4 linked regions of the Lepisosteus oculatus genome follow. The protein of the gene in region 1 purifies or fractionates together with the protein of each later gene. This does not show direct contact. Links are inferred from orthologs where the notes say so. Each region holds a gene or a part of one and is shown in the gene's direction. Other genes may lie near its edges. The genes, in order: rc3h1a, serbp1a, cnot1 and cnot9.

The links.
Region 2: the proteins of rc3h1a (region 1) and serbp1a purify together in Homo sapiens (affinity purification with mass spectrometry, with the first as the bait; 3 studies listed by BioGRID). This does not show direct contact. The link is inferred for Lepisosteus oculatus from reciprocal best matches to the Homo sapiens genes RC3H1 and SERBP1.
Region 3: the proteins of rc3h1a (region 1) and cnot1 purify together in Homo sapiens (affinity purification with mass spectrometry; 5 studies listed by BioGRID, with this or other methods). This does not show direct contact. The link is inferred for Lepisosteus oculatus from reciprocal best matches to the Homo sapiens genes RC3H1 and CNOT1.
Region 4: the proteins of rc3h1a (region 1) and cnot9 purify together in Homo sapiens (affinity purification with mass spectrometry, with the first as the bait; 4 studies listed by BioGRID). This does not show direct contact. The link is inferred for Lepisosteus oculatus from reciprocal best matches to the Homo sapiens genes RC3H1 and CNOT9.

The regions. Positions count from the first base shown.
Region 1 is NC_090704.1:19,336,881-19,343,901, forward strand, and holds the start of rc3h1a (roquin-1a), read left to right. Parts: upstream 1-4,011; 5' UTR 4,012-4,165; intron 4,166-7,021. UniProt on the Homo sapiens protein: Post-transcriptional repressor of mRNAs containing a conserved stem loop motif, called constitutive decay element (CDE), which is often located in the 3'-UTR, as in HMGXB3, ICOS, IER3, NFKBID, NFKBIZ, PPP1R10, TNF, TNFRSF4 and in many more mRNAs.
Region 2 is NC_090704.1:13,437,919-13,445,872, forward strand, and holds the start of serbp1a (SERPINE1 mRNA-binding protein 1), read left to right. Parts: upstream 1-4,936; 5' UTR 4,937-5,040; coding exon 5,041-5,320; intron 5,321-7,065; coding exon 7,066-7,267; intron 7,268-7,954. UniProt on the Homo sapiens protein: Ribosome-binding protein that promotes ribosome hibernation, a process during which ribosomes are stabilized in an inactive state and preserved from proteasomal degradation.
Region 3 is NC_090715.1:4,431,447-4,439,185, forward strand, and holds the start of cnot1 (CCR4-NOT transcription complex subunit 1), read left to right. Parts: upstream 1-4,718; 5' UTR 4,719-5,301; intron 5,302-6,035; exon of another isoform or gene 6,036-6,222; intron 6,223-7,739. Other genes in the region: lysosomal protective protein, read right to left, coding at 247-368, 1,048-1,200, 1,650-1,734, 1,983-2,074, 2,172-2,330, 2,702-2,839, 3,232-3,343, 4,288-4,451.
Region 4 is NC_090707.1:21,038,438-21,045,836, forward strand, and holds the start of cnot9 (CCR4-NOT transcription complex subunit 9), read left to right. Parts: upstream 1-4,383; 5' UTR 4,384-4,529; coding exon 4,530-4,547; intron 4,548-7,344; coding exon 7,345-7,399. Other genes in the region: usp37 (ubiquitin carboxyl-terminal hydrolase 37), read right to left, coding at 1,282-1,443. UniProt on the Homo sapiens protein: Component of the CCR4-NOT complex which is one of the major cellular mRNA deadenylases and is linked to various cellular processes including bulk mRNA degradation, miRNA-mediated repression, translational repression during translational initiation and general transcription regulation.

The DNA.
Region 1 (7,021 bases):
TCTCTACTCTGCAGTGAGGCAGCTGTGTCACCCAGTGGGTCTGTCTGGGGAGTGAAGTGGGTCCCCTCCTGTGTGTGGAGCACTTTGAGATCCTGTGGAATGAAGAGCACTATATATTCTACACATAATACTATCTTATTATACTTAGTTATAAGTATAAGTTTAAGTATATAAGTATAAGTTTAAATGATAAAAAGGGGGTAGCAATATTGTTTCTTTTGTTATTTTAGTTAGTTAAAAGAAATTAGTATTAATTTCCTGTTACAGCTATTTATGAATAATATTGTATACTGTGAATGGGTTTGGGTATGAACTAGGTGAACAATTTAATTCCTCTAGGTGGAGCAGTAGGTCTGCAGGCTTGCCCTTATAAAAATACATGATCGTTCCATTGCTCTGATAGAAGTGTAGTTCTAATCTCGGTGAAGTCAGATTTAAGATGTGTCCAACCAATTAAATTACTTCAGGAGAGTATTAATACGATAATTAAATCTTAATTAATTTGTGGAGCTAGTGTGTTCTCCTTGTGTATTTGGTAGTAGCTCATTTCTCCATGGATCTCATCCAACCATTTCTTGAAAGACACCAAGGTATCAGCTTCAACAACATGGATGGGTATCTTGGTCCAAACTGTCACACCCCTTGGGTTAAAGATGTGCCTCCCCTTCTTGGTTATAAACTTTCATTTGACTTCCACTTCTAACCCCAGGTTTGAAGAAATTCAAATGCTTGACACTCAGTGCCTTTGAGGATTGTGCTATATACTCAATTCTTGTATTAGGTCTCCTCATAGTCTTTTCTGTTGAGCCTTTGAGCCTGTCAGGAGAGGACATCCCCTTCAGCCCCAGAATGTTTCTGTTTGCTCTTCTCTTTGCTCTTCCAGCGCTGTGGAAAAAAGCAATAATCGTGCCTATGCCCAAAAAGCCCTGTCCCTCAGATAACAATGACCACAGGCCGGTAACACTGATGTCTGTTGTGATGAAATGCTTTGAGAGGTTTATAGTATCCATGCTGTGCTCAGAAGTGAACACTGTACTGGACCAATATCAGTTTGCATATAAACACCGGCGGGGCACCAATGATGCAATCAACAATTATGCATCTTGTTCTAAAACACCTAGAGGACCCCAATGCCTATGCTCGGATGCTGTTTGTGGACTTCAGCTCTGCATTTAAAATGCTGCAGCTCCATCTATTGATAAGTAAGTTGAAGCAAATGTCCGTTAACAAATCGCAGACAGTATGTCAGGGTCAACAAAACTCTTTCTGAGTCACGATCTATTAGCACAGGTGCCCCTGAGGGCTGTGTTAGCTCTCTAGTTCTTTTCACGCTTTATACAAATGATTGTAGTCAAAACAACTTCATTTTCAAATTCTCAGATGATACAGCTGTTCTTGGCTTAATGCATAGAGGTAGCAGCTCACCTGTATACATGTCAGAAATCCAAAGATTTGTGCAATGGTGTGACAACAATAGCTTAATTTTGAATGCTAAAAAAACAAAAGAAATAGTTTTCGATCCCAGAACAGTTGGTGATCACTCACAGGTAGTAATCCACAACGAACTTAAAGTATCACTCAGGTTGATTCATACAAGTACTTAGGTGTACACATAGACCGTAACCTGTGCTGGTCTACTCATGTTGAGAGTGTTTGCTCCAAAGTTCAGCAGCGCTTATATTTCCTGCGAAGACTAAGAGTGTTTGGGGTTCGACAGGAAGTAATGCTACTCCTTTACCATGCTGTAATCAAGTGCATTATCAGATATGGTATTTCAGTGTGGTTTGGTAATCTATCAGTTCATTTTAAATCGCAAATTACCCACCTCATCCAGACAGCTTTGAAGGTCATGGGGGTGAAACAGCACCCCTCCCTGCAGACAATCTTTGAAAAATACATAATCAAACAGGCAGGAAAATTTTTATCAGATCATTTCCCACATCCTCAACTCTGAATATCAACTTCTTCTTTCTGGCAAATGTTTTAGGGTTCCCAAATGTACAGTGTTTAGTAGTCCTCCTAATTTGGTATAATCTGCAAATGTATGACTAAATATGCAGCAATACTGTAGAAATACTTCCTGAGTATGACCCCTGTCTTGAGTGTTTTGTCAATGGTTTCTGAATAACATCTCCTGTTACCTTGATTACAGTTGGTACATTTTAGTTCAAGTAGGCAGCTGCGGAACAAGTAAAGGTTTATTCCATGCTGAAAAGAGAAGAAAAGAAACACAATGTTTTGGGGGTGGAGCCTTCTTCGGGTGTGTCAGAAAGGGTTATCTGTTTGAAGGAGAAAATAATAGAAAGCATAAGTTTCCTCAAAAACTGTTGTAGAATTAGAAGACTATTAGAAGTCTTTGCGTGTTACTCTGGGTGGTGTCAGAATCAAAGAAAAAAAGTGTTACATTTCAGATGAAATCCTTTAGGAATGACATTATGTCGATGACATCTGTAAAGGAATAGGAGGTGGTTAGAAAGCCTGGTCTTGGAACAGATCGCTGCGAAGAGACGGAATGCTGGTTCGGTGAGAGAAGAGGACAAGTAGCCGAGGGAGGAGGAGAAGGAATGATGAAGAGATCTAGAAAAAGATTTAGCAGAAGTCATGGTGGGTTGCAACAGAAGTAGGCTGAAATAGCCTACCTCACCTGGAGCAGCGTAAAGACGTAAAACCGAGATCCTGACTCTCTGTGGTCATTAAAAATCCCAGGGCGTTTCTCGAAAAGAGTAGGGTGTAACCCCGGCATCCTGGCCAAATTTCCCATTGGCCTTTACCAATCATGGCCTCCTAATAACCCCCATCTATGAATTGGCTACATTACTCTGTTCTCCTTCCCACTGATAGCTGATGTGTGGAAAGCGTTCTGGCGCACTATGGCTGCCGTCGCATCATCCAGGTGGATGCTGCACATTGGTGGTGGTGGAGGAGAGTCCCCATTACCTGTAAAGCGCTTTGAGTGGAGTGTCCATAAAAGCGCTATATAAGTGTAAGCTATTATTATTATTATTATTATTATTATAAAAAGTTCAAGTAGGTAGCTGAGTCGGCATGTGTAGGCTGCAGAGGAACAATTAAAGGTTTATTCCATGCTGAAAAGAGAAGAAAAGACACAACGTTTCAGCTGTGGAGCCTTCTTCGGGTGGCTCCAAAGCCAAAACGTTATGTTTCTCGTTGGTATGTTTTGTTTCTCTGAGATAATATAGGAACAATATTTTTTTTTCTGGCATTTCTTTTAAACAATTTTATACGAATAAAAAAACTATACTAATTTTAAAGGAACAAGATGTAAATCAGGATTGTTCTTAATAAATTGGCAGGCCCAGTTTGAAAATACCACTATGAGTTTAAACATTTCTGTGTAAACAACACAATTCCATGTACTTGTCTAACAATGTTATTAACAGACCATTTTCCAATTCAAAACATTGTGTGCTATGGAACAAGTAATAGGTTTATTCCGTGCTGAAAAAAGAAGAAAGAGAACACAACATTTCGGCTGTGGAGCCTTCTTCAGGTGTCAAGCTTCAGGTGACACCTGAAGAAGGCTCCACGGCCGAAACGTTGTGTTCTCTTTCTTCTTTTTTTCAGCATGGAATAAACCTATTACTTGTTCCTTTGCAGCCTACACATGCTGACGCAGCTACCCATCTGAACTACATTATGTGCTATGTGTTAAAAACACAGAAATTATCTCATTCAAATTGTATTTTCACACCGTTTTTGAGTTTGCATTGCTTAAAAGAAAGTGTTTTGCCATTCAGTTAGATTTATTTTTAAACTTATAGTTCCTTCAAAAGTTAGAACAATAAGTATTGTTACTCAATGAGACTTCAGGTTATGAATTCAAAGGCAATAACAGCTTGAGCTATCTCTATATGGCGATTTTAATCACAATACAATACTAAAACACGAAATGATAGTTCAATGAGAGTTGCTTGAAAATTTCATCAGTCACAGAATGGTAGCGCTCGGCTGACAGACAGGGGGCGCTCTGCACAAACCGGGATTCCGGGTAGCATCTCGGCGCCTCCTCGTCAGAGTTAGTGTCAATTTTGTTGCAGTCTTGCTTCAGAACTTGGGCTGCCAGCAACAGGAAAATGGCGACCGAGGAGATACAGGCTGACTTTTCAAAGAACAGCTGAAGATTGACCAGGATCAATCGCAGATTGTGAGTTCGTCGAAGCTTGTTGTGATGTGTGACTCGCCCGGGCGACCTCGACAAGCCCTAGGCTTTCGGGAGGCCTGATGGCAGCCTTGGCCCGGCGGTATTGTGAGAGTCTCGGCTCCGCTTTGTCCAGGAGAGGAGGCCGCCCTGCTGTTGTGCCGCCCGGGCTTGGTTCAGGGTTGGAGGCCGAGACTTAACAGGGCTTTAGTGACGGATTTTGGATGGATTAACGTCAAGTCACGTTTTATAATGTTGCCGTCTTCTCTTTTAGGGTTTAATGCTGCTATATTATTATTTGGTAGTTTCTCGGGGGTCAATGAGCCGTGTTGTTTTTGTATAGGAGCACAGTCGCGTACGTACTAGGACATCAGGACGCAAGAAACTGTCGAAAAATTTAAAATATTTTCCGTTTAGGTTATGATTTGTGGAGTTAAAGCAGTTTATCAGGATAGAGTAGTGTTCTGTGTGTTTCATGTTATGTTGTGGCCGTTTTAGAAAAAGCCTTTATCATCAAAGTGAGTCCCAGGCTTAAGGTTGTGGCCTAGTTAGGACGTAACTGACTTTTTAAAAAATGCGAACATAAGATAAATCAGTTTCTCGCAGCGGCTGGAATATCTTTCACATGTTCTGGTCGGATTATACGGAGAGGGAAGGTAAGTTACTGATGTATTTATAATATTGTAGGCCTCAGGCTTCTAGCGGGTTAAATTTCGGAGTTGGCCGTGTGGATGTGACTCTCGTTGGGCATAATGTAGAATCGTTTTTGGTCTTGTTTTAAAAAAAAAAACTCCTACCGAACAGGTCTTCGCGTACTTTTGAATTAGGGAGCCCTACTGGTTTGAATTTGGGGATTTTTAAATGCACATTGTTGGCTTATTTTAGGAATATCTGGGTTGAGTAGGCTCTGCCGCCGTCGTGTTGTTTTCAAATTTGCAGTTTGTCTTCCTATGCCTAGTGCTCTGTTTCATTTATTCCTCTTGTAATAGTGTTTTTGACCTCGATATTCACCGAAAAAGTACATCTTGTCGACGCCCCAATGTCCGGAGTCGCAGCTTCTGTGTCCCGTCTTGTGAGAAATGGCCACGGAACCTCTTGCGCCGTGACTGTCGAAATTTACGCAATTGACTGCTGTTGCTGAGGAAATCACAGCATGTATTTTAACTCTGATGAAGGAAGTTTGATTTCAGTAGAGAATAATTAATGTAAAACAGCAGTAAACTTAAAAGGTGACAGTTTCTTAACGCTTTTTAGATCCGGAGTGCGTGAATATAAAATCAGATTTGAATCTGGTCAACTCACGGTTTTGATCGCTCTCGTACTGCTTTTCAGACGGTGTTCCCTTCAGATTCCGAATTTAACTCAATAAATTTGCCAACATAGAGCTCATTGGCGTTTTTATTATGCTTTCGCTAAAGCTTCCTATAAGTACGACATGTGAAGTCTCTCGAAATCGGTTTTGTTTGACGAATATACGTGGAGTGGGAGCTTTCAGCAGTTAAAAGTAACACGTTGTTTTTTCCCCGTAATCGAGTGTTTGTTTTGCAAAATCTCTGAGTCTACGGCACGAAAAGACAGGAGTCCTTCCATCTCAGAGTTATTCCTGAGTGGGGTTTGATTTTCCACTGTTTTGTGTTTTTAAAAATTATGCGTGCATTTCTGTAAGCATATTCACCTAGAACGTTTTTTGTGTGAAAGCGGAATTAGGCATGTGCAGAGCTTTTATTCGTGAACAGTTTGTAGTATTAGGAGTGTCCTAAACTGTTGTCACTTGACAGAGTGAATAAGATTGTGCAGTATCAGTTACTTTTCATTTGGTGTACTTGTTTTCCCTCAATTTCCCTATAATAGGTCAGAAAAGCATTCTGATCTAGTTGTAAAAGTGTTTGCCTAGGCTTGTTCTCCAACACCAAGGTCGGGCCTGTAGTGCCACTACTGCCTGTGATGACTGTCAAACTGCCTTCTTTTGCTTTCTTCAATGACATAGCAGAGTCTGCCACAGAAATGCATTGTTTGTAAGCGTGGATTAACCTTTTCCAGGTTTCTCTACAAATGTAGTTTTCAGACCTGGTCCTGAGGAACCCCTGTTACCCAGGTGGCTTTCTTTCCACCTGAAGTTAGAAAAACAAGAATGTAAAAGTTAAGGAATATAGCTGAAAAGGTGAGGCTTTTCCTTCCCTTCCTTTTCAATCCCATCCCTGGAATCTCGGGAAGTAGACCGCAAGCCTGTAGAGATTGTTGTGCCAGAGAGCCAAATAATACTAATGTAGTCCACTGCTCTGGCACAGGTAGCTCAACATGTCTCTTTTGTAAACTTTGGGGTCTAACATTTCTTAGTGTGAACAACTAGTTAAACCTGAGGTTCCATGTTTAGAAATGAGTACATTCAGTCAGTGCCAATGTTAGCAGTTAGATCGTGGACTTCTGTACCTGCTTAATCATATTTACATTTTATATTTGCACAATCATTAGCACATTAGGGCTCTGTGGCTAAGGATCTGTGCCTGTGACTGGAAGGTTGCCGGTTCAAATCCGGCAGCTGGCAGAGGAATCCTATTCCGTTGGGCCCCCGAGCAAGGCCCTTAAAATGGCTGACCCTGCGCTCTGACCCCAAGCTTCTCTCCCTGTCTGTGTGTTTCATGGAGAGCAAGCCGTGGTATGCAAAAAGACGAATTCCTAATGCAAGAGATTGTATAGGGCTCATAAAGCAACATTAACATTATTAACATTAACATTATTCATTATTTTACCTTTGGATTTTGTCCTAGTTTTCAGTTAAACATTGTCTTTAATAGTGTTTATAAGACGTAAATGAAGTTATTTCCATTCTTGCTGGCCTGATTGTGGTTTTACATGCTAATC
Region 2 (7,954 bases), about 5.9 Mb from region 1:
AGCTGTAAATAAAATGAAGATAAAAATTGTTTGAAATTGTAGTTTGAAAATTATAGTCCAGGAAGTTGCATGTACAACGATTTCAATACTACCCACGCAGTATGAAGTCATTAAAGTAATCTTGCGATTAGTATGAAACATAGAACAAAGGAAAAGATTAATTCTGAGCAGACAGTTGACACAGTTATTAGAAACCACGGAGGACAATGAATTGTGTTTTCTTCCATTTCACTGCAGAGTGCAGATTAAAGAGGCTCTTATTTCACTTCTCTGCAGTGACATTGATAAAGGAGAAATAGTATAAACATGATACTGTATTACTGAACCATTTTTCTTATAAATAAGCAAATATCCTATGTTCTGCCAGAATACAAAAATTGACCCCCCGTTTAATAAATAAAAAACTCAAAAACTAAGAAGGAAAACGACTAATTTTTGACAGGGAGAAAATAAAATATTGGCGCACCTGGTTTACACAGTTGCTGTAGGTATTCTTCGCCACTTAAACATTTGAAGGTCAATAGCCACAGCTCAGAAGAAATTGTACAGTATATACTACTACTACGACTATCACTACTACTACTTCCACTACTACTAATAATAATAAATAGAAGACACAGCCAGAAATTTAAATCATTTTTTTTTTCTTAAAGGCTATCATACTCACAACGCGACCAATATTGACCAATTCAATAGTGGGTTAAAAAAATACTGTAAGCTTTTTTATTTTATTTTTTTTATAAAACGGATATCAGCATAAGGTCAGACCAATGTATATTTACATTTATGTAGCAATGAAGGAATTTAAATTTGCTGCAATTTTCGACTCAAAATGATCACACCTATTCGTAAGTTACTGAAGAATTATTATTATATTGGTTATTAAATCCAACTTAAAAAGGCTGGCTTTAACTTAAAATAATTATTGAAACAATTTCTACGAATACTACACATAATAAGATTTGCTGTTGGATGATATCCAGGTTTTATAAAGATGCTTATCTTTAGATTCCTCTTCATTCCAGTCACTTTCTTGCAAAACACCTTGTGTCATTTCTTGAGTATGCATGACGTGAATTTGTTCCATTGGAATTTCCGTGTATTTCACATTATTGGGCATTTTACATGTATAAGTTTCATTTGAATTCTTAGTCGTACTGTCTTCATCCTCGCTGCTAAGTTTTGGATTGCAAAAAGCCCAAACCATGACGCAGAAATAAATGAAGAATGTTGCCATCACGATGACCATTAACGTATACGATTCAATCATTGCTTCAGTCACGGCAGACGTCATCTTTCTCTTTTCTTCTTGATGTGCCCCACTAATATTTCCGATTTTAACTCCTGTCGTTGGATCGGATGTAGAAAACGTAATGCAACTTGCCGGTTTGAATCGTTAACTACATGGTTTCTGCTTTTGAATCACGGTTATTCTAATAGTAATAGAAGCAAATACAGCGAGAAAAAGAAAGCTTTGTACCTATAAACAGGTTTTCTAAACGCTATTTTGACGAAGTCGCGGATCAAATAGATTCCCAGTGTGTGTATCCGGCGTTTTTCAGCAGTCTGATGTTTGCCTGATCTTTCTCCGAGTCTGAATACTCTGGCAGGTAACTTCGAAATCGCTTATGATGACGTTGCCCTGTACCATCTGAACCTCAAAGGCGACAGCAGCAGCCAGACAAGTTTCAGCTGCACCCAAGAATTCCGGTATAGAATATAGAAAAAATAATATAATTATTTTCTTTAGGCGTGCAAAATATATTTGTTTTATCAAAAGTGTACCGAGCCGACTGGTTTAATTTGCATTAAAATCGTGTTTAAGTTGCTAGCTATATTAATGATCCTCCAGTAGTTTTAAGAGTATGTCATCTCAAAAATCCAAAACTTCCACTACATATTAATTTATATACAACTTTTAACAATGCATCTGCATGTATTTTTAATGAGTTTTTGGGTGGATTTTAATGCAAATAACAACAAATAATGTAAAATCAATGCAACTTTCTGAAATATATTTCTGAAATATTAGCAGATTTCCATGTTACTAGAGATTACTCCTGTCTGGAAAACAATGAATTAACATTTTTACGTACCATTTTATTAAAAATCACACATTTCAAAAAGTATTTTATTTTTCACTGCTTATCAGGATAAAGGGTAATTATCGGATAACATACAATGACTTTCTCTCTTGCCTTGTAGCTGTCACATGAATTGTTAGATTTCAGAATGTCTGAATATAACTATCCATTCACACAGAAAAGTACAATTTTGAACAAGACTGGAAAGGCAAGTATATCATCAACTTTCAGATAAACTAAAAATGCTAATATTAGCAAAAAATGAAATTAACACTGGCTTCTGGCCTTTCCCCATGTGAATGATCATTATTTCAACACACTTGGAAATTAAATATAATTTAATTTCAAATATCCTGGATATTTCTTGTGGATTTCCTACCATTGCCCAGTTTGCCCTTCTCATAGTCATAAGTTCCCATGAACCTTCTGTTCAGGCTATAGCTGCCTAAAGCTTTAAACTTGCATCTGTCTTTATTGTTGGCAATTGTGCACATATCATGTGAGTGAAATAGCCCATCTGAATCTAGGGGACTAAATATTTGCAAGTGTTATGTCTCTGCATGGCAGATATTTTCATTACCATGCTGTTCAGTATCAAGTGCTGAAACTGTAATGAAAACAATGCCTCCTTGGAATTTAGTTTTTAGATTAAAAAACAAACACATTAAAGGGTCTGTAGAGTATAGCTCATAGTCATAGTTTTTTTTCTCAGTGGTATTATAGCATTTCAAACTGCCTCTCTAACAATTCAGAGATTATGCATTATAATAAAATGAATTGAAGGTAATTGGTTTAGAATGCTCTAGATAATTTTGCATTAATAAATAGTGCAGAAATCTACCCAACTTTACAGTATGTGAATCCCAGTCCTGAATTATATTTTGGTGAGTTAACTTCAGTTAATGTCTTACAGATTTTTGTTTCATAATGAAGAGAATTCTTCATCTTAGTATGTGCTTAATAGTGCCTTATAAAGACCACTAATGCTTAGGACTAAACAGGCACACCCTGTCTTTGATAATACTGGAAGCTTAGCTGACTTTTTCAGTTATGCAATAGCAAGGCTGTTATAGGTGGAGCCTCATAAATGTTCAACTTGTCTGACAGGAGTCCAAACAGCAAAATGGCATGTAGTGTTTTTTTTAGATGTTTCACTTATTAATTTGGACCTTCCAGTTTGGAGATATGGAAAATCTTTTATTAGGATACAAAAGCAATAGAATTTGCTGTAAGTAAAATAAAAAAAAATTGAATGAGGTTTAAACATGATGGGAGTGAAGTGTCAATCACCTTTAAGCCTTGAAAAAATGGTTTTGAAAAGTGAAATTGCTCCCTGATCTGGAATATGCATGTGAACTGTTTCTCAGTAACACTGAAATGAAATCCATTAGAAGAGAAAACATTTTGTGTAAGTATAAGTGTCCCACACTTTGTCACCAAGGTGCCAATTCATTCATCACCTCTGGTATAAGTATGTGTCAAACACTATTTAAAGATCACTCTGAACAAATACTTGATCATTTCTAATTTGGGTAACATCACAAGAAAGGTGGTTAAAGAAATCTAGTCAATTTACTGACCATCAAGTCATTTTTGGTTAAAAAAACCCAACATTTTATTAAGGTGTTTTTAAAGGCTTTGTTCTGTTTTGGAAAGCTAATCTGAATGGGGGATGGTTGATCAGATCAGATGTCAACAATTAGGTCACAGACAGCCACCTTACAAGATGGTTCTTTGCCATTTTGTTTTATTCAGATCCTCTTGTACTTAAAAAAAACGATCATTTAATCAAATCAGCTGCTGTATTAGTTCATATAACCATAGCTAGAGGTAATGCAAATTCATAGGACTACTCGCTGTCTGTGCTTATTATGATACTGTTGGTACTGCATATACTGCAAAAGCCAGCATAATTGAAAATACAATTTCATTTAGAGATAAAGAGTAAAACATAAAAAGCAAAATAGCGTTATTTTCAAATTTTGGAATTAGAAAAATTAGAGAAATCAGTCAATGGTAAATGCACTAGCTGACTAAATGCAGGCAGACTCAATTTAAACCAGGCACATAAATGCAAAAATTGTCACGCTGGATGGCTGTGCTATCAAAGAATGGCCTCATAGCACATTACTGTTATACTCCTTTTCTAACTTCACAATTTCAAAAAGCTTGGAAATAACAACCATAATCTCCCACTATATTCCATTCAAGACCCCTATTTAAAAATGCATTAGATGGTGCTTCAGGCAATTGTTATAAAGAGCAATTCTCGTTGAAACGCTAACGCTTTTAAATGCTTAAGTAAAATATTTTTATTAAATGTTACGGTGAGAAAATGTTAAAGCACACTGGTTGTGAACGAGAGGCCTGCGCCACCATGTTTTCAATAAAGCTTTCACTTGCTACAAAGCAACACTCCTTAGGCGCTGTTCAAAATGTGTACTCCACTGTTTGAAATGCATGATACCATTAAAATCAAATTACATAGCATCAGCCTCTAATGCTAGTATTGATCATGTGAATGAAATGAAAGTGAATGAAAGCTTTCAGTGATTAGACTGACAATTCTGAGCATCTGCAGACCAAGAAAAATTAAATGAAACCACACTGACACAAGCGTGCACGTTCCCTTTCAGTTTACCAACAGCATGCCATGCCGAGCGCTACTAGTTACAGTTCCCAAGCAGACGTTTTTCAAGAACAGAAACAAGCACTTTAGCTGCAGATGCTTTCCGGGACTTGTAGTCTTTCACTGCAGCTCCTGCAATATGTTTCTAGAGCCCTGCCTCTATTAAAAACTACATTCTCCATGTGGCAGCGAGCTTGAAGTCCCGGATGTCTATCGCGCCGGAAGAGAAGACGGTCTCTTTCCCGGCCATCTTGTGGCAGCATCAAGCGAGCTGTTCGCTTCAAGCCTCGTAGAATCGGAGGAGAATCCCGCTGAAGGGGCGCCATCATGCCCGGACACCTGCAAGAAGGCTTCGGCTGCGTCGTAACTAATCGGTTCGACCAGCTATTTGATGACGAGAGCGACCCCTTTGAGGTGTTAAAAGCGGCCGAGAACAAGAAGAAGGACGGGGCCGCCACTGCTACCGCCAAGACTGCTGCTCAAGCCGCTAAGCAGCCGAAAAAAGAGTCGCAGAAGGACAGAAAGAACCCGCTCCCTGACAAGAAGGAAGAGACACAGGCTCCTGTGCCTCTCAAAAAAGAAGGTGACTTTTTTCCCCCTTTCTCTGGTCAGTGGACTGCGTATTTCAGAACATGGAAGGGGGTTGTGTTAATGTTACTGCGTAAACCCCCCATGAGGTCAACAACATGGTTCCTATTCTAAGCCAGTCAGACAGTAGTTCAGTGCCTTATACACGCTCGGCCAAGCTAAAAATGTACGCCTTTGGGGACTCGAAAATGCATTCTTCCTGTAGTCTCCCGGTGGTACCTGCGCATGCTTTATCCGGTGCTGAAGGGGGTCTAGATACGGTTAATTCTTTAAAATGCGTTTCCTAGTACCAGGCCTGCAAGATACTGCAGAGCGGGGAGGTTGCTGAAGTGTTTCGGTCTGATTAAAGCAGTTCCAACGCCGGCTACAGCAAGGCTCTCTCGCAGAGGCCTGGCGCTGCAGCAGTCAGGTCGCCAACCTCGTGGTGGAAGTTTGGGGAAGGCTGTCGAGCTGTCACAGCACTCGGAAGTCGATCTTCGCGAGTCGTCGCTCGCCGTGGAAGGCGTGGTGCTGGGAGCTAGCGAGGGAATTTTTAAACAATCGTTTGACCCCCTCGGCGTCGTTGGGCTTCATCAGTTTTGTCCTCTGCATGTGACGCAAACGGGCTCGTTCGTTTGCATGCATTCCTTTTAGATTTTAGTCCAGCGGCATGTACATCTCGGAACAGCTCTCACGTGCTTTGTTTGCATGATGTCGACTTCACGCCTGTATCGGGCAAACAGGAACCGCGCTAGGGCTTTATTCTAGTACCTCGAAAATTGTTTTTTTTTCCCCCCCAAACACGAGCTTGCGGACCTTTCTTGGGATGCACCCAACAAAATTCAAAATGGACTCGTTTTTATTTCGACTAAACCTGGAACTGGGCGCTTGATTTTTTTTCTAAAAATAGACGCATCCTTTGTAATCGTTTTAAAACGAAAGTGGGCGTTTACCAATTCAGTAAAAGGGCTTAATTTAGATAAAAAGTCCAGTTTGGTCCCATACAGAAGAGGCGTCCCCAACAGGTGCACATCCAAATGTGCCAGCAGCTGTCGGGTTAGGCTATATGGAGGTGTTCTGCCTGAGGGCTGTTTTTTGGAGGGGGGTGGGGTACAGATGCACTGGCTCTTAGAATTGGGAACCTTTTGACCAAATGATTTCTCTTGGTATATTGAACTAGATCTCCATCTAGTAGCAAAAGTTGTAACTTACCTCTTGAGAACCCAATATTGTGGGTTTTTTTCACTTAGTGAAGTGGTTTCACACCTTTCCAGCTCCAGTCGCCACTCATGCTGTAAGTCAGCATTATCATTATTCAGTTCATACTACATACAGGAGTTAACACATGCTTTTTGATTTGGTATGTACAAACTCGCTTGTTAAACCTGGTTTCTGCTAATTAGCTTATGACGCATTCGAAAAATACTCAGGAGTGTAAAATACATAAATCACCTGCTAATTAAGTTGGGGGTGCATTATAAAAAAAAAACATTTTAAGTCTTCTAACATCTTTCTTAACTTCACAGCAAACTAGCATTATGTCCTTTAGGAATTAAAATTATAACAGGTTGAGTTAATTTCTTCGTTTTAGCGGTTGTCCAGTTTGAAATCCACGTATACTTTTATATTCCAAAGCTGTAATTGAGTTCAGTAATCTAATTTATTTCTTTTAAATTGGACAGGACCAATAACACGTTGCGAGTTGAATCTGAATCGTGCTTCCCTGTTCACGGATGAAGGATTAGATTTTTCAGGCCTAACTCACCAGCTGGCTTTCTATTTCAGGTATCAGGAGAGTTGGCCGTAGGCCTGACCAGCAGTCCCCACACCAGGGGCAGCAGTCCCAGCAGCAGGGCTCTCAGCAGCAGGGGGGTCAGGGAGAGGGCAGGCCCGGCGACAGGAGGCCAGACAGGAGGCCCCCACGCGACCGCCGCTTTGACAAGCCTGCTGAAGAAAAGCCCGAAGGTGGAGAGTTCTCTGTGGAGAAGTAAGCTTACGAACAGTATAAGGGTTAGGAAGCTGTGGAAGGGGATGTTTATGGGCTGAGTTGGGGGCTAGTGGTTTTTTTGGGGGGGAGAGAAATGATTTCAGTTTTCCCAGACTTTGCAGAAAAAATGTAGATATGCCAAGCCATCAGCCCCTACATTAAAAAAAAAGCACATCAGTTACAACACAAAAATGTGTTCCTCAATGTTCAAAAGCTCTTTGTTTTTTAGAAGAAATTGAGAATTCTATATTAAATGTCACAAAGAGAAGGTGCGTCATAATCTGAATTAATTTGTCCCAAAGACAAATTTTTAGTTTTTAATTTTATACTAGACAAAAGGCATAGGACACTGCCTATTTGGGCCTATTTTCTGTGGTCAGTTGTGTAAAACGACTGGTGAGCTGAAATCTTGAAATTTTAAGTTTTACACAGTAATTTCCAGGAAAGTTCCCCCCCCTGCATATTGCCCCTGTATTGCAGTTACTTTGGTCATGTCTAGTTTTTTTTAATCCTTGACCTTCATTTGCAAATGTTTGAAAATAAGGATGAAAATAAACTCCTGTTTAGGGAGCACTTGGAAACCAATGCCAAAAATTTGGTAGAAAAGGTTGTTTTAAATGTTGTATTCTTTTTCACAGGGGTATCCCAGTTTATATATGAGCTACCATTAATCCAGGTAAAAATATT
Region 3 (7,739 bases), on another chromosome or scaffold:
GAAATATTCCCGTGCAGTGTGTGCCCTTTTACGTTCTGTGCTTAAACAGATATGACCTTGCCCTAATTGCATCATCATGATAACGCAAGAGGTCGATGTTTTACAACGGAATGAGCCAATACACGTTTGGTTGAGGTCTGGTTACAGGTTTGAGCCGAGACGCAGGCAACTGGCGATTACAGATTGCAGAGGTGTAACAGATAACGGCAGGTTCTACAGAGGGGGCAAACGCAGAGCCCTGCTTACCTGCAGATGTCCCAGGGAGGCAGGGTGTCGGGGATGTGCAAGGCCTTGCGCACGTCTCCCCGGTTCAGCCAGCTGGTCTGGGCGGTACTGTTGATGCAGGGAGGAGCCTCTCTCACAGCCAGCTGCAAGAATACAGACTCCTTCACAAGAGCCAATGCCCTTGAAAGACACTGCCAATAACGGAGAGGAGACTGGACAGCTAATCCTCTATTAATTAACCCCAGGAATTCCCAGTCCCGCCTGCTGCTTTTGCATTCCATCTTAATTAGCTTGAACTTTAGTTTAATTAAGCTTGAGCTTTATTGCTAAACCGAAGCCTTAATTGGATGAATAATTTGCTGGGTTGGAACACTGCCAAGCTTTTTTTTTTCCTATTTAAAAGTTGTGGAATTTTGTGTTGCTTATAGTGTGAAATGCAGTTGTTGAAAGGTTACCTCCAACCTCTGCAAGAGCTGAAAACAGTCAAACGGTTGGAATTAATCGTATTATTAAAGTCAGTTAAGGGTTCAATTCCATAGCTGAGAGCTTGACTGGCACAAATCCCAGCAGGTAAGTGGGTCTCCTGGACCAGGACTAGGAACCTGGTGCAACTATTATATTTGATCTTTTCTCTCCTAATGTATAAAAACCTACACTTGAGGACTTTTTGACACAGCAGACCTATAACATGCTTTAACTGTACTCATAGGTAGCTGTAATGTTCTTCTTCTCATATAACCTTTCTGCTTGAAGAACTCGGAAGCTAAACAGAGGTCATATAGACGCGCTGTTCCCCCAAATATGTGAAAGTTAGTTCCTTACCAAACTGGTATCCCAGTGCGGCCTGTAGTTCCGAAAGAGGTTCTGCATGTCCCTGTGATAACGTGCAGCTGTCCCCACACCGCCAGCGCAGTCCAGATACAGAGCATAATCGTTCAGCCCAGAATCATAGATAATATTAAATGCACGGCCCACCTGCCAAGAAGACAGAAGAAGCTGTTCAACTTTCATCCATCCGCTTCCAACCTCTTGGTCCGCAACATACAGTGGTCACGCTGAGCTGGAACCTAAGCTGGCAGACCATGGGGGCAAGGTGGGATACCCTGCGGTCAGGACACCAGTCCATTGCAGGGCATTCACACACCGGGGGGGGGTCACCATTTATGCTCCACACTGAAGGTACCCCAAACCAGAAATGAACCTAAGACCCCAAGAGTTGTGATGCGGCCTTTCCTTTCAGCAGAAACCTTAAAGCTAAAATAACACCAGCTCATTAAGAATGCGTTTTCTGCGCATCAAGAATCCAGACCTTTGTTTTAAATGGGGCAGATGTTGGAAAATTACACTTTTCTCTTCAGGTGTGCTTCATGCTTCCAATGCTGTATTATTATTCACGGACTATGGAAGAAACTGGGAGACAATACCGCCTGAATGCAGCCCGTGTCACTGCTGTTGTAGAAGTTACATGTCCCATCTTTGCAGCAGTTCCTGTTCAAGTCAGCCCACAGTCTACAGAAAGAAAGCAAACATACACACTTTACACAGAACATTAATCTAGATGTTGATGTCCTCTCCTTTGCTATGCCTGCATTCTGGTTGTGTGAGATTTTTTATTTGTTATGCAGTGGCTAGTACCAGTGACGAAGAGGATCTCTTTGTTGATTGCAGTGGCATGTGAAATTGAAAGGCTCCACCCACAATGCACAGCTGCGATGACCTCACTTCCTGAGCTCAATGATGAGAAAACTGATGCTTACTTTTCTCCAAACAGTCCATGGTAGTACGCAAAGTAGATAAGAGACTGGTAGTTGAGGTCAAAGCTGCTGATTCCATTGCCAACTGCAAATCCCTAGAATGAGGAAAAGAGCAGGAATAGGAAATAAGGAACTAGCTAGAAACTTGTTAGGAGAGCACCCTCCCCCAGAGGTCACATCGTTTGGCAATACCTTCAAATTGATCTTGGCAGAGCTGTTGGCAATCCTGAGGCTCAGGGTGGGTGCGTATATCCCTCCGTAGCTCTCGCCAAATACGTAGAAATCGTTCTTGGTGAAATTGGGAAATTTAGTAAAGAAACTCTGCAGGGCTTTGAAGTTGTTGTCAGCCACCTGTCAGAAGACACGAAGCAGGCAGCTGTGAGCAACAGACTCCATCCTGGAAGCACAGGGTGCACAGCAGGAATACAGTATATATATAAATGTGTACTCAGACACAATAACCAGCTACCCCAGCCAGCAAGTTTTTGAAAGGTGAGAGGAAACTGGAGCGCCCAGCGAAAATCCACACGAGCACAGAGAGAACATGTCCAGAAGTCCCCAGAATTCCCCTGTCCTGCATCGAACCTAGGACCCAGGAGCTAACCCCTGTCCAAGAGCCACAATAATCAGCATTTTGACTTTTACATCATGGACACCGAGAGGGTACTGTTGCGTTTTGGCATCAGGTTCTTTTTATTTACTTAAACTCGGGCTGCACTGACCTCATCGTCGTTGGTTCTGTAGTCCTTATCGTCTGAATAGGAGTAGCCCACACCAGCTGGAGACTCCAGATACAAGACATTGGCAGCTTTATTCCAGCTGTAATCGTTTAGGTACAGCGTGGCTCCGTCATCATTCACCTGCCAGAAAGGATGGGTAAATGAAGCTCAAATGGTAATGTAGAAGAGGAACTGATTTTTAGACCATGTGCTGCACAGGTATGAATTTACACCAGACAACTGTTGCTAGCAATATTGGCTGTTCGGCCAATTTCTACACTTCTCATTGTCTCCTTGCTTTTGTGACTTCTTTTCGTTTTCGGGTTGGATCTATGAAGGCCTGGAACAAAAACCTGGAAGGTGAATTTGTCTCCAAGCTAAATGAAATCTGGAACGACCACAGAACTCTAAGGAAAAAAAAGCGTCCCCTGCGATAATGATCAAGTGCAGAAGACGACCATGAGTTTTGCGGGCAGTTTTGAGCAAGTCTCAGAGGGAGAGCTCAACACTGAGGTAAAAAAAAAATTGCTCACGTGGAAAGGCCCATTCTCTGAGAGAAACCCGTCCAGGGAACTGCAGCCTGGACCACCATTCAACCACAGGACAAGAGGGTCTTTAGCTGGGTCTCCCTGGGATGTCACAAACCTGCAAGGCCAAAACAGGGAGAAAACAGCTATAATCAACACCTCCCTCTTCATTTTTTATCTGAGTGTTATTTTCAGAACTATACTACTACCACTCAGCAATAAAAATATTCACATATTGGGGTACATTTTCAATTTGCAAAGCTAAAAATATAGCGAGAAACAAAGGGGTCTTCACCTGTTGTCCCAGACAGCCCCAGTACATGTGCACACACCACGTTCACTCACGTTGTTTTTATTTAAGCATCAGAAATACAAATAACATATCCTTCATCCAAATCAGGTCAAACAAAATACAAAATAATATCAAAATCTCTCAATTTAACATTTACCTTTAAATGTTTAGCAATAACATTTTGCAAATCTATCCAAAACAATTTTGTGCATATGCATATTAACAAATGTAACAAAGATTCCTTCTCATTATTACAAAATGCACATAAGTCATCTCGCTCGTGTTCAAATCTAGAAAGTGTCAATTTAACAGGATAAAATCTATGAACAATCGTAAATGATATTTCTCTAACTTGATTTGTTAGAGATCAACTGCACTCGTTTCTGAAGATAGTGAACACCTATAAGTCACTGCTCGCCTAAGCACGTAATGAGCTAAATTTAAGTCCTAAAGGGATCATTTTATTTCAAACGATTTCTAAATTACCTGTTTTAACAAATCACCTGCAATTAAAATCACAAATCGGTCCAGGTATTTGGAAATTGGGGATTTCTCAGAGGACAAGGGGATATAACCAGAAAGGAGCCCTTGTTGGAGAGATTCGTGTTATAAATCCTTTCCGAAACTGAGCATCGTTACCTTTTCCGCTCTCGTCCGGTTCAAGAGAACTTTTCTCACCAACAAGTGAACTGACGAGGAAGTTAGAGTAGTGTTCACCGTACGTTGAAAAACGAAATATTGCATCTTCTGCTGTGCCGCGGCTGTCTTACCAGTAGTGCAGGTACTGCCCGGGGCTGGCTTTCAGGTACCCTGACCACTGCCTGAAGTTTGGGGTGAAGGACTGTCCGGGGAGATCGGTCACTTCATCTGGATCATAGACGGACTGAGCGGAGCAGCACAAGGCTGTTAAAACGACCAAGCTGCGGAAGAGCATGTCTATATTGCACTCACACACAGAGAGAGAGAGCTGGAGTGGTTTGGGGGGAATGAGAATCAAGTCTTTCTTTGGATGCAGTTCAATACTAATCAAATTGGTTGGCAGAAACTACCGGCTGTAGTCCTGGAGCTGAAGGGTCACATGACAACCCCCCCCCCAGATCTGTCACGAGTATTGAATCACGTGACTCGGATGACGCAAAAACTACGCGACATATTACGGCTCCTTATACCGGAAGCGAAAGTGACCAAGTAATTTCACAAAAAAACGGGGTATGGTTTGATCTTCAACACACACTCGTACATTTTGCTGCAGCAAAGACGTTTCGTGGGTTTGTCAAACTTCTGAGCGTTTGTGTTGCTAAAAAACATCAAAGCCAGGGAAAGAGGTTGGAACACCGTCCGATTTTTTATTGGATTACACGTCATTGTTCCGTTTGACAACTTCGGTATAGAAACAGATAAACTTGTATTAAGTTTGGTTTCTAGACTTCCTTACAAGGCACACGTTTTGTGCCACACAAGGCGCAAATTGCAGTTTTTCAATCAGTGAAAGCCTCTTTGTGCTTTGCGAGCTCATACACCAATAGGGAACCCTGCCCCATCTCTCTTCCACAATCATAGGCATCACTTTGATTAGGGAACAGGGAATCTCTGATTTAATTATTAAGTGCACTTCGCACCCTTCCATTAAGCCCCGCGTGGGTTATCAGATAACAGGTTCGTGGAGAAGATAAGATCAATGACCTGAGCGACGACTCTTCGGGATCCACTGTCCCAAACCCACCAGCAGATAGAGGACCCCTGAGTGTAACGAGGCTAACGGACTGGGGAAAGGTAATGCAGCTGTGAGTCCCAGTCGTGTCTAACACTCGATCAGAACGCGTTAAAAAAAACGTTAAATGCTTTTTTGTCTTCGTAAATGAACCTTTTAACTTGATAGGAATGCATGGGAATGGTCACCATCGCCCTTGTCAGCCCGGGCACACACGCTAGCAGTTCTCAGGCAAGGGGTGAGGCACAGACCGCGATAAAACGTCACATCGTGATGCCTTTGCTCTTTGGTTCAATGGCTCGGATCACTCACTAACTCGAGAGAAAACGACCATAAACGAACAGGATTCACTTTTTTTCCACCCTCGGCACGTGACCTCCCCGCGAGGCCTGGTGCCGCGGAGAGACGCTCGCGATTTTCAAAAACCCACACCGGCGGCGCGTGCCGCGTTCCGCTCACACCCGAATAAAAGTGCCGAAAATTAAAATCCGCCGTGATGTTGCTAGATGACCTGATGTCGACCGTACCATTATCCCGTGTCTTGGGGGGGGGGGGGACCGGCTGAGGCGCCGCAGCCTCTTTCTAGCCGGAGCGAATTAAGGAGTGGGGAGGGGGGGGTGGTCTGGTCTTAAAAAACATTTTTGGGGAGAGAATAAAAAATGTTTATGGGAAACCTATAATCTGGCGAGTTGTTTGCATGAATATTGATTTTTAACGTGCTGTATTTCGGCGCAGTTTTAATTATTTGTCTTCATTTGTGTAGTTTTTTTTGTTTCCGGAGTTGGTGTGTGTGGGGAGGGGGGAGGGGGGATGATGTTGCAGTGTCGCGAGCTCGATTTCAAGAAGATGGCGCTGTGAGCGCGCGCGAGATGTTGGTCGCCATTTTGTATTGAAAACCAAACCGAACTCGAGAGGGGGCAAACGTTATGTTATTATTTTTGTAACGACTCGGGGAGAGCAAAAATAAAGAAATGACCTTAGGAAAATAAGTGAGGTAAATATGATACCGTACCGGGGTGGGGAGGGGGATAATATACATTTTTGTATTTGTTTTTTTTTTCAGTGAAACGTGTTAGAGCGGAACGTAGGTTTGTCAAACTTCCAGTGTTATCATCAAGGTTTTTAAACCGACACCAAAGTTATCATTTTCTCGCACAGAATTAATATATTTAGATATTTTGTCGTTTTGTACATTTGAAACGATCTTGGGTTGAATACCCGAGCGGCACTTGTAGTGCGATATATTTTGTGCAAAACGAACGGGCTGAGTGAACTGTCTCATTTCACCATCCGTCTGCTAAAATCTTAGAGAAACAAAGGCTTTAAGAAGAGGTGGGGTCCTTTATAGTGTTATTTTCGCTATTTACATCTTTGACTTCACCAATGTCGCCTTTTTTAAAGACGAAGTTTCGAATTTTGTAAATCAGCTTAGGTCGGTCCTTTTGTGAGAAATAAACCCCTTGGTTAGCTATCATAATACAAGATCATATTACTGACGGTTCGGAATATTCTTTCACATTTTAGAGCTGTTTAAACAGCTTGGAACATTAAAAAAATCGTTATGTTTTGAAACATTGGCGACTGATTTTAGAAGCAGATGTATTTTAGCGTTATTGGTTGTAGCTCAGTGCTTGAAGTTCAGTTTGCAGATAGAACTAAGTTGGCCTTTTTACGAAACGGCTTTTTAATGTGTGAGCTATTCACGGTTTAAAAGTTCCTTTAGATGTCTCCCTAACTGGTTGGAAAGAAAGCAGTCCTCATTTTCCTGTTAATATACATCCACGAGTACAGTATGTGCAAGGGAAATAGGAGTACTTTAACGCCGAGTAGCTACTTGTAGGAGCAAGTGTGGTACATATTCGAGGTAGCTGAAAAGCTAGGCACAAAAAAAGCAACTGAAGTTTAAACTTTGCACTACCAAGTAAGTAGTCTGGAGGGGGTTAGCTGAGTTTTCCACTTCATTTATTTCTAACAGAGTCAATCTCTTGTTTCCCTTTTTTGGGGTGGCGGTGCTCTTAATTGGGGAAATTAGTCATTGAGGTTGAGGCTAGAAAACACGGAGCCGGTATTTTCTTGAAAAGAGAAAGCGTTTTAGGTTGGAACTGTTCTAAAGTTTCTTTCAGAGTATTTTTTAGGAGAGGTTCATCTTGGTGCGTGTTAGGTTACTATTTTTTTGACAACACCCTCCCTAACTAGCCGTGTTAAACTTCGGGGTTAGGGGCTGACCTCTTGCTAAAACGAAACCCTTTAGTGCTCGTAGTTCGTACCCTTAAACACAGTAACGGCAGCTGTTTTTAAATTGGGTTCGGTTGTTATTATTTTTGGCCACATTACTGGAATGTTGAGGAAAAATGTTTACACCTTTTCGGCTTGGAATGGTTTGTTGGGGGGTTAGGCCCCGGTTACTTATTGTAAGGTAATGTTTAACGGTCGTTGCATTTTACCAAGCAGTAGAAAAACGCATGAAAAGCACCTCATGTATTTTATACAAAAACATTCGTTAATGTTTTT
Region 4 (7,399 bases), on another chromosome or scaffold:
TTTGCTTACAACAGTTCTAAACATGTTATACAGAACCTGCAACTGCACTGCAGTGAGCAAAGTCATATTGATCATAAATAACTGAATTCTAGAAAATACGAGTGTCATGTTTATTCACAACTGTTTTAAATTAAATCAGAACACAGAAAATCTACAAAACCAGTGTTTTTTAGAAACGAAAAGCCACCAGAACTATACAGTGACCTCTGTTGGTTCCCCATGTCCTTGAAATATAAAGGATGTAACACACCTCTCACTGGAGCCCTCTGAAGACTATCCATTGACCTCCTAAAAACAGGGGATGGCAATGAAAGAAGCAACATACAGCTGAATCTATCACTTTTCAATGTTGTGCCCATTATTAAGAACATCAAGGCTACTGGTACAGTGGTAACTCCGTTAGGAGGAGGACACAAGCATATCTTGCCATCATGACATACTGAAACGTGTTTCGGGAGGCTCAGAAATCTAAAGACGACAACTGGAGATCTCCAACCCAAACTGGCATCTTCGGGATACAAAGTATAGAAAACTGACATTCAATGTTGTCTGATGTAATGAAAGTTAAAAATTAAATAAAAATTAAGACTTGTGCATGCTCATTAGCATTCTGTTTGGTATAAAAAAGGGGAAGCTCACACTGAGAGAACAGTATACATCCAAACCAGCAAACGAATGGTTAACAGAACACAAAGTAAATGTTCTTGACTGGCAATCTATATTACCAGTCACCAAACCAATCTAACATTTGTGGTTTGAACTATAGAAGGCAGTTCACAAAAAAAAAACAATCATCTTAAGGACCCGGAATACTTCTGCCTGGAGAAGTGCTCAGAAATCTTCTATAAGAAGCACCAGAACTATACAGCACACTGCAGGAGGTGCCAGTGTAATCTATGCCAGAGGAGGATTAAAAAAATACTCACTACGGGAATGTGAATAAAAGTGATCCTTGTACTTTCGGAACTTGATTATGACAAATATGACTTTGCTTTGTGCAATGCTAATAAGATTAAAGTATGTATTACAGCTTTCCATTAAATGATGTATTTTGTTCCTATTTCAACAAGCGTTTGGATAAATCTGGAAGATCCTGTACAACCATATATATGTACCGTTTAGTAAGTGCACCATATGCTAACATGCCTTAAAGAACAGGCAAAACAGCACAATTTAGGAAAATAGTACAAATTTACCATCTGTTTTCTTCAACCTCATTCCTAACAGAGGTAGGGTGAAACACATGAAGCTCTTTCGATCTGAAAGACAAGTAAACTGTACCTGAAATATTTTGGGGACTCCTCCACTGTTGAACCTCACAAAGAGGTTGACTTTGTTGTCCTTCTCGTGGATCTCAAAGCTTCCTTCCTTCCACTTGGTGGTACCCAGTTGCAGGCTGTTGATCCGGACGCTGCCTAACAGTTTTGGCACAGTGGCTGCCATGGCTTGAAGCACAACAGACACTGGGTCACTGGATCTTCAAGTGACACCTGGGCCAATGGACAGCCCTATGTAAAACCTGAACATTTAACAGAAGGTTTCCAGTTAGACAGCTCATTTAAGGTTACTTGTAATACTTTTGAGGATAGAAACTTTTCTTGTGCTTATTCATACTAGTACTATATTTTTTATACTCTTAAATTCATTATGGACCTATACATCATTTTTCATGGGAAGCACAAACATTACATAATTGCCTAAAAACAGCTGGTTCACAACATCCTTGTCCGTGTTCAGTATTAAAACACCAATAGCTAAACATTTCTTGGGGTTATAATCAAAATGACAGGTGGTGTATACAAAGAATGAAGCAACACACCAGACTAGTGACAAATCAAAATAATAACGTTCTGGGGTGAATCTAATTGCCATGGGAGAAGGACTTCACCAATGTGACATCCAAAGATGCAGCTGCAGCCCATGAAAGTTCTACAGATAAATTCCCAGCCTTTTTTGCTTTCGTTTTGATCAATGATGGCTTAAAATATTTTCAAAACCCCTGCTCTATAACTATTATCAGAACATGTGCTGATGTCTAAACACTTCATGTCTTGGGAGGCAGGAGAGCATGACACATCCCACCAAAATTGCAAGCACTGCGGATAGACGTAGTAATTACAAACATGCAGGAACATTAATTTTGGCAAACTGTGGAACATTATTTAACAGATACGGAGCACCTTTCAGGGGAGGCGGATTCAAAGCCGTGCATTGAAACACTTTTGACTTAACACGGGGAAGCCGAAGTCCACTGATCGTTGTGTGAGACGCGCTTACAGTATTTTCACACTCATTCAGAACCATCGCTTTTAAACGATACAGCATGGAATCTAAGCACCAGACCATTGCGACTAGCAAAACCAAATCTAACGCACAAAAGAATGCAATGAGTAAAATATGCTAAGCGTATCTTACTACACCAGATCTTTAAACGATTGAGGATACCATAGATGGGGCCCGTGCTATTGCAGAAATCAAACAGCTTTCACATACAGTCACCAAACTACTGTCCTCTGCTGTTAAGTGTCTGAGAAAATCACGGGGAGCTGCCCACAACAGACTGCAAAGACACACGTGCACAGAGGCCAATAGCGAAGTACAATTTATTCCACAATACAGGTCAGGAATCACAAATACTGAATTAAAACAGATGCGCCCGCAAATCGTGCTGCTTCGCCGTATTTCGAACTGCGAAGATTTCCAAGTGTTACTTTTTTGCGTGTGTCCGAGAAATGGCACTTTTCTTGAAGTTCGTGAAGGGAAATCACAGGGACAAGACTGAGAGCAAACAGCCCGAAATTCAACGGCGACGAAAAAAATAGACACGAGAGTGAAAAGCTGGTTTCAAAGAGGCGATGCATTTTAACAAGAACACACAAACAGCCCTGGACGTGCACGACAGTCCCCATCTTCTCAGACCCATACATCGCCACTTTCTCCGGCAACATTTATTTAGAACGGAACTACCCCCAGGTTTCGGGAGATTCCGTTTTCTGGAACGTCGTCGTGGGCAGGGATAACGAAAACCGGCAATCACATTAAAGGCCGGGATAATGACAGCCACTGTCAGTAATTTGAATAACAAGAAGAGGAGGAACGCAGGACTCCGGCAATTACAACGAATAATGTCTTACGTGCAAAAGAAAGCGTTCGGTTTCCACGCTTTCCTATATTTTGCGTATACTCCCCTCTCGTCTCCTACGGGCTGGTAGCCGTGTGGCCGGCCTCCGGTAGCAACTATGTTGTTATCGTTGACAGTCGGTCCAAAACGCAGCCCCACCGGTGTGTATGATGGCGGGAACGTGAAAATCAACAACGGAAACCCGGCGCGAGAACATGCGCTGTGGTATCGCGCGACAGAGTGGCATGGCGAGAAGCTGCGCAGTGCCTTGGTTTTCTTCCTGTACTGTAGTTTACAGGGGTCAAGGGGTTGGTTACTTTTAAACCTATAAATATTCTTACCTGCTTTAAGTATAAAATGTGGAAACCTTTTTTTTCTCCTTTAATGGAGCATAGACTTGAGCGCACATAGATAATTTTGGAACTCCCATAATCCCTTAATATTGTGGTGTAATTCAAGAGAAAAACTAAACGTTTTCAAAAGTTTTCTTGCTTCTGGCTGGGGAATTCTCTTTAAAGAAGTATGTCTCAATGAGGACCCCTAATATTTTAAAAAGCACTGTGGGACAATAAATACATTACAATAAACTAGTTTACTTTGGAGTCTAGACAGTGGGTCCGGGGCTGAAAGATTGCTATTTGTAAAAGACTGCTAACATACTTTCATTTTTTTTCTTATTTTTAATACAAAAAAATTAACAGTGTAGAGCGGGTGAAAACACACGTAATTTTTAGTGTAGGAATAAAGCCTACTGAAATACATAACTTAATATGCTCTATAGGTTTGATTAAAAACTTAAGCTTTTGAAGGAGTGGAAGCCATTCAGCTCCTCTACATTGTTTGGTAGTTAATAGCAAATCGATCCAAGAATCTCATCAAACCATTTGTCAAAAGAAGCTCTTATAATTAAATAATCTTACGGCATGTAAGACATGTCTAGATTTTTTTATATCAGGAAAAAATAATTAAATAAAATATTGGCCAGCCCTTGTGAAATATATGTCAGGGACTTGTGCAATACATTTATATTTCTATTCAGTTATGTAACCCAAATATTGGCAACGCAAAGTTGAGAGGTCACGCAGAATCAAATTATATCTCTTTAATTTGTTTTCGATTTTATTTAATATTTTGTTAAAATCCTAAAACTATACGAATGTAGCATTTGTATAGATCGGTGTAAAACAATAACTGCAACCTTATCAATTATTGTAGTTTGTTTTTTTTTTTTCGGAAATGTGCGCGCGAGGTGAAAGGTCAGAGGTTACAATTCCGGCGCTTGCTGGATTTTTCTCTCTGTTTTTGGAAACAGAGCATATATTAATATTAAAAGAAAGTAAAGAAATCCAACGGAATTAAAATAGGGACTCCGCAACATTCAGGCGATCATATCCAGGCGCTTCAGAGAATGTTGGCTACAGGGGCGGTAAGATTTTATTTAAAAGTACTTTATTCCTGAAGATGCTCTAGGCCTCGGTGAAATTTAAAATTTTGACGCAAGTGTAGGGACTCCTTAAAGACTCGATTGGCTGTTAAGTGATTTCACGATCCGATAAAGTTTGTTAAATATTTATTTGTACTGTTTATTTTAGAGAGTGGGTTTAAAATATTCTCTTTCTAATGCAAAAAAGGGTATTCAGTACAGGGGTTAAAAACTACGGAAGCATCATACACAGGAGGCAGTTCAGGTCTGTGAGAAAAACAACGGCATGGTGGAATTTCATACTGGTGGACGATGTAGTTACAAAACTTGTAGGTTGTTTTCTAGATGCAGTTTAAGTGCGAGTAAACCGACACCTTGTATTTTATATATATACACCAGATAATTCAACTTAATGCCAGTGGACTACAAAGACTGATTAAAAACTGATGAAGTGAAGTTTTAGCAGCAGGTCAACTTGAAATGTTGTATTGTATTGAGAAGGGACTGGTTGGTGGAACTAGTGTTTAGTATGGATGTTGTCATTTTATGTTTTTTGCTCTGCATTTTTAGAATCCCGACACTACATTAAGGGTGTAAACAAATACCTTTTTAAATTGTTTTCCTAGTGCTTTTTCATAATTCTGTTGATAATCAGACATTGAGAGCTTGATAAGGGTTACCATATTTGAACATTTAAAAAAGGGGTACACTCCTTCGAGAGGGCTATTTGTACCATTATCTATTAGACCTTTATTAGTTGTATTACGGTTGTATATTCTGTGTACTACGTTTCGTCTATAAGTCTATATTGATCTGCAAAATTATAAAAACCGTTATGGCCTCAGAGATACTTTATTCAAATTTTACTGTATCTCTTTATATGTAGTCCTTTTCCTTCACCAGTCCTTAAGTAGTCTTCCTCCTGATGTGCCCAAGCAAATGTCTATGTAGAAAGCAGGTTTCTCAGCAGGAGAGAAGACGTTGTGGAAGTCTTTGCTAGAGGTTTGGCTGAAATTGTATGGAACAAGTAATATCCTTTTCAAGTTGTTTTACCTTGTCCACTGGCTTTACATGTGTGGAAAACCTCACTTTACATTCCTATCTTGAGTAGGAACAGCAAAGAAGAAGTATGCGGCTTTAATAGCACTGAGTTCCACTTGGTGTTTTTTTTTTACTTTTCAAAGTATTTGATCCACATCTGGTGTGATTAAATTCTTCATTATTATCTCAACCTCCTATCAATTTCTTTAGATTATTGACCTAATCAAAATACTTCACAGCATCAGTTACTGCCTCCTTATCAATCAGATCTTTGACGCAAGGTTCCACATCAGCCCAATTCAGTGTTTCACTCAGGACAATTTGTTTAAAACAAGAGAAGTCTTCAAGGGACCTCTTCTACGTCTTGAAATATTCTGAGGATTTACTATACAGATTATCTGTTTTATCACATAATGTGTCACACTCTTCAACAGATCCTTCCATGTGCATTTTCTGCCAGTAGTCCCTTACTTGGGAATATTAGAATCAAGCTTGTTATCACTTCCAAGACAGAGCTGTTTTCCCTTTCAGTTTCTTGGATATATGTTTGGAATAAACTCATGAATGCTCAGAGGTAACACTCACTTAATTCATACTCAGAATGTCTTGATCAGAGTAGGTGGTTTGTCCTATAACAAAAATGAGGAGTTAAAAGCTGGAAACTGTATCAGTCTTGTAATGTCTGGAAAAAATGACAGTTATGTCGTGCCATGAGAAAATAGCTTAGGACATTCAAAATCTATAAACCCTGGATTTGCTGGATTACCTGATTTGCTGTCTGGTTATAAAACATAATCTGCCATTTTTGATGATGAGCTCTCCTCTCCAACTGCTTTCTCATGCTTGTGTGAGTCCACACAAACTTGTAAATCATTTGCACCTTTGTCTACCACAGAAGTACCAGGTCTACATACCAAGCACTCAGCTTCTCATTCTTCTATCCTGCTTGGAAAACATAGCAATATTGTCTTTACTTCTGAAGTGAATGAGTATTTTTGGTTTGGCATTGTGTTTAGGGATAGCAAAGTAAAAAAATCAAATAAAGCTCTCTTGAGCAAAAGCTACTGTGCGCAGTCCAGAATCAGATAAGATACTGAAATTAGTGCTGTGGCTGAGCCAGTGTGGAGGTTTTGGGAAAAATCCTCTCTCTTTGGAATGAAAATTGAATGGGGCAGAAAACTAGACACTCCAACTATAACCAATACATAGTCTTGCTCACGAATAATCAGCACTCCATTTCACATTCAAAACCTTTGGAGACAAAGATATTAAGAGGAAGATATTAAGATTTGAAAATTCCTCCCAGACAGAGATCTAAGGCCTACAGAGGAGGACATGTCTGGGGGAAAAAACAATATGGTAACCCTAAACATGTTTCAATTACAAAACCAAACACAAGTCAGAGTAGTACAGGACTATGTTAGCTGTAATTAAAATCTAACTGTATCTACTATATCTGTCTTAGCTTACATAGATATAGATGATACAGTTAGATGTAGCTGTTCTATAGCAGGTTAATATAATTTGTTATCACAGTGCTGTCATCTTACTGTTTTAACTTTTTATGGTGAGATTATTTTTCATGTATTGTTGTTGCACTGTGTTGGAAAGGAGATACCATTTGAAAGCTTTACAAATGGCAGTCTACAGTACCTAAAGTGTTTTAAATGGTTTTCATTATTACAGTAGCAAAAATCCAAATATCAAAATCCGTTTGTAGGCTCCATTCTCTCAGACCGTCTGCATTCTTTCCTTGCAGGCTGTAACCACAGCGCTGGCGCAAGTGGATAGGGAGAAGATCTATCAATGGATCA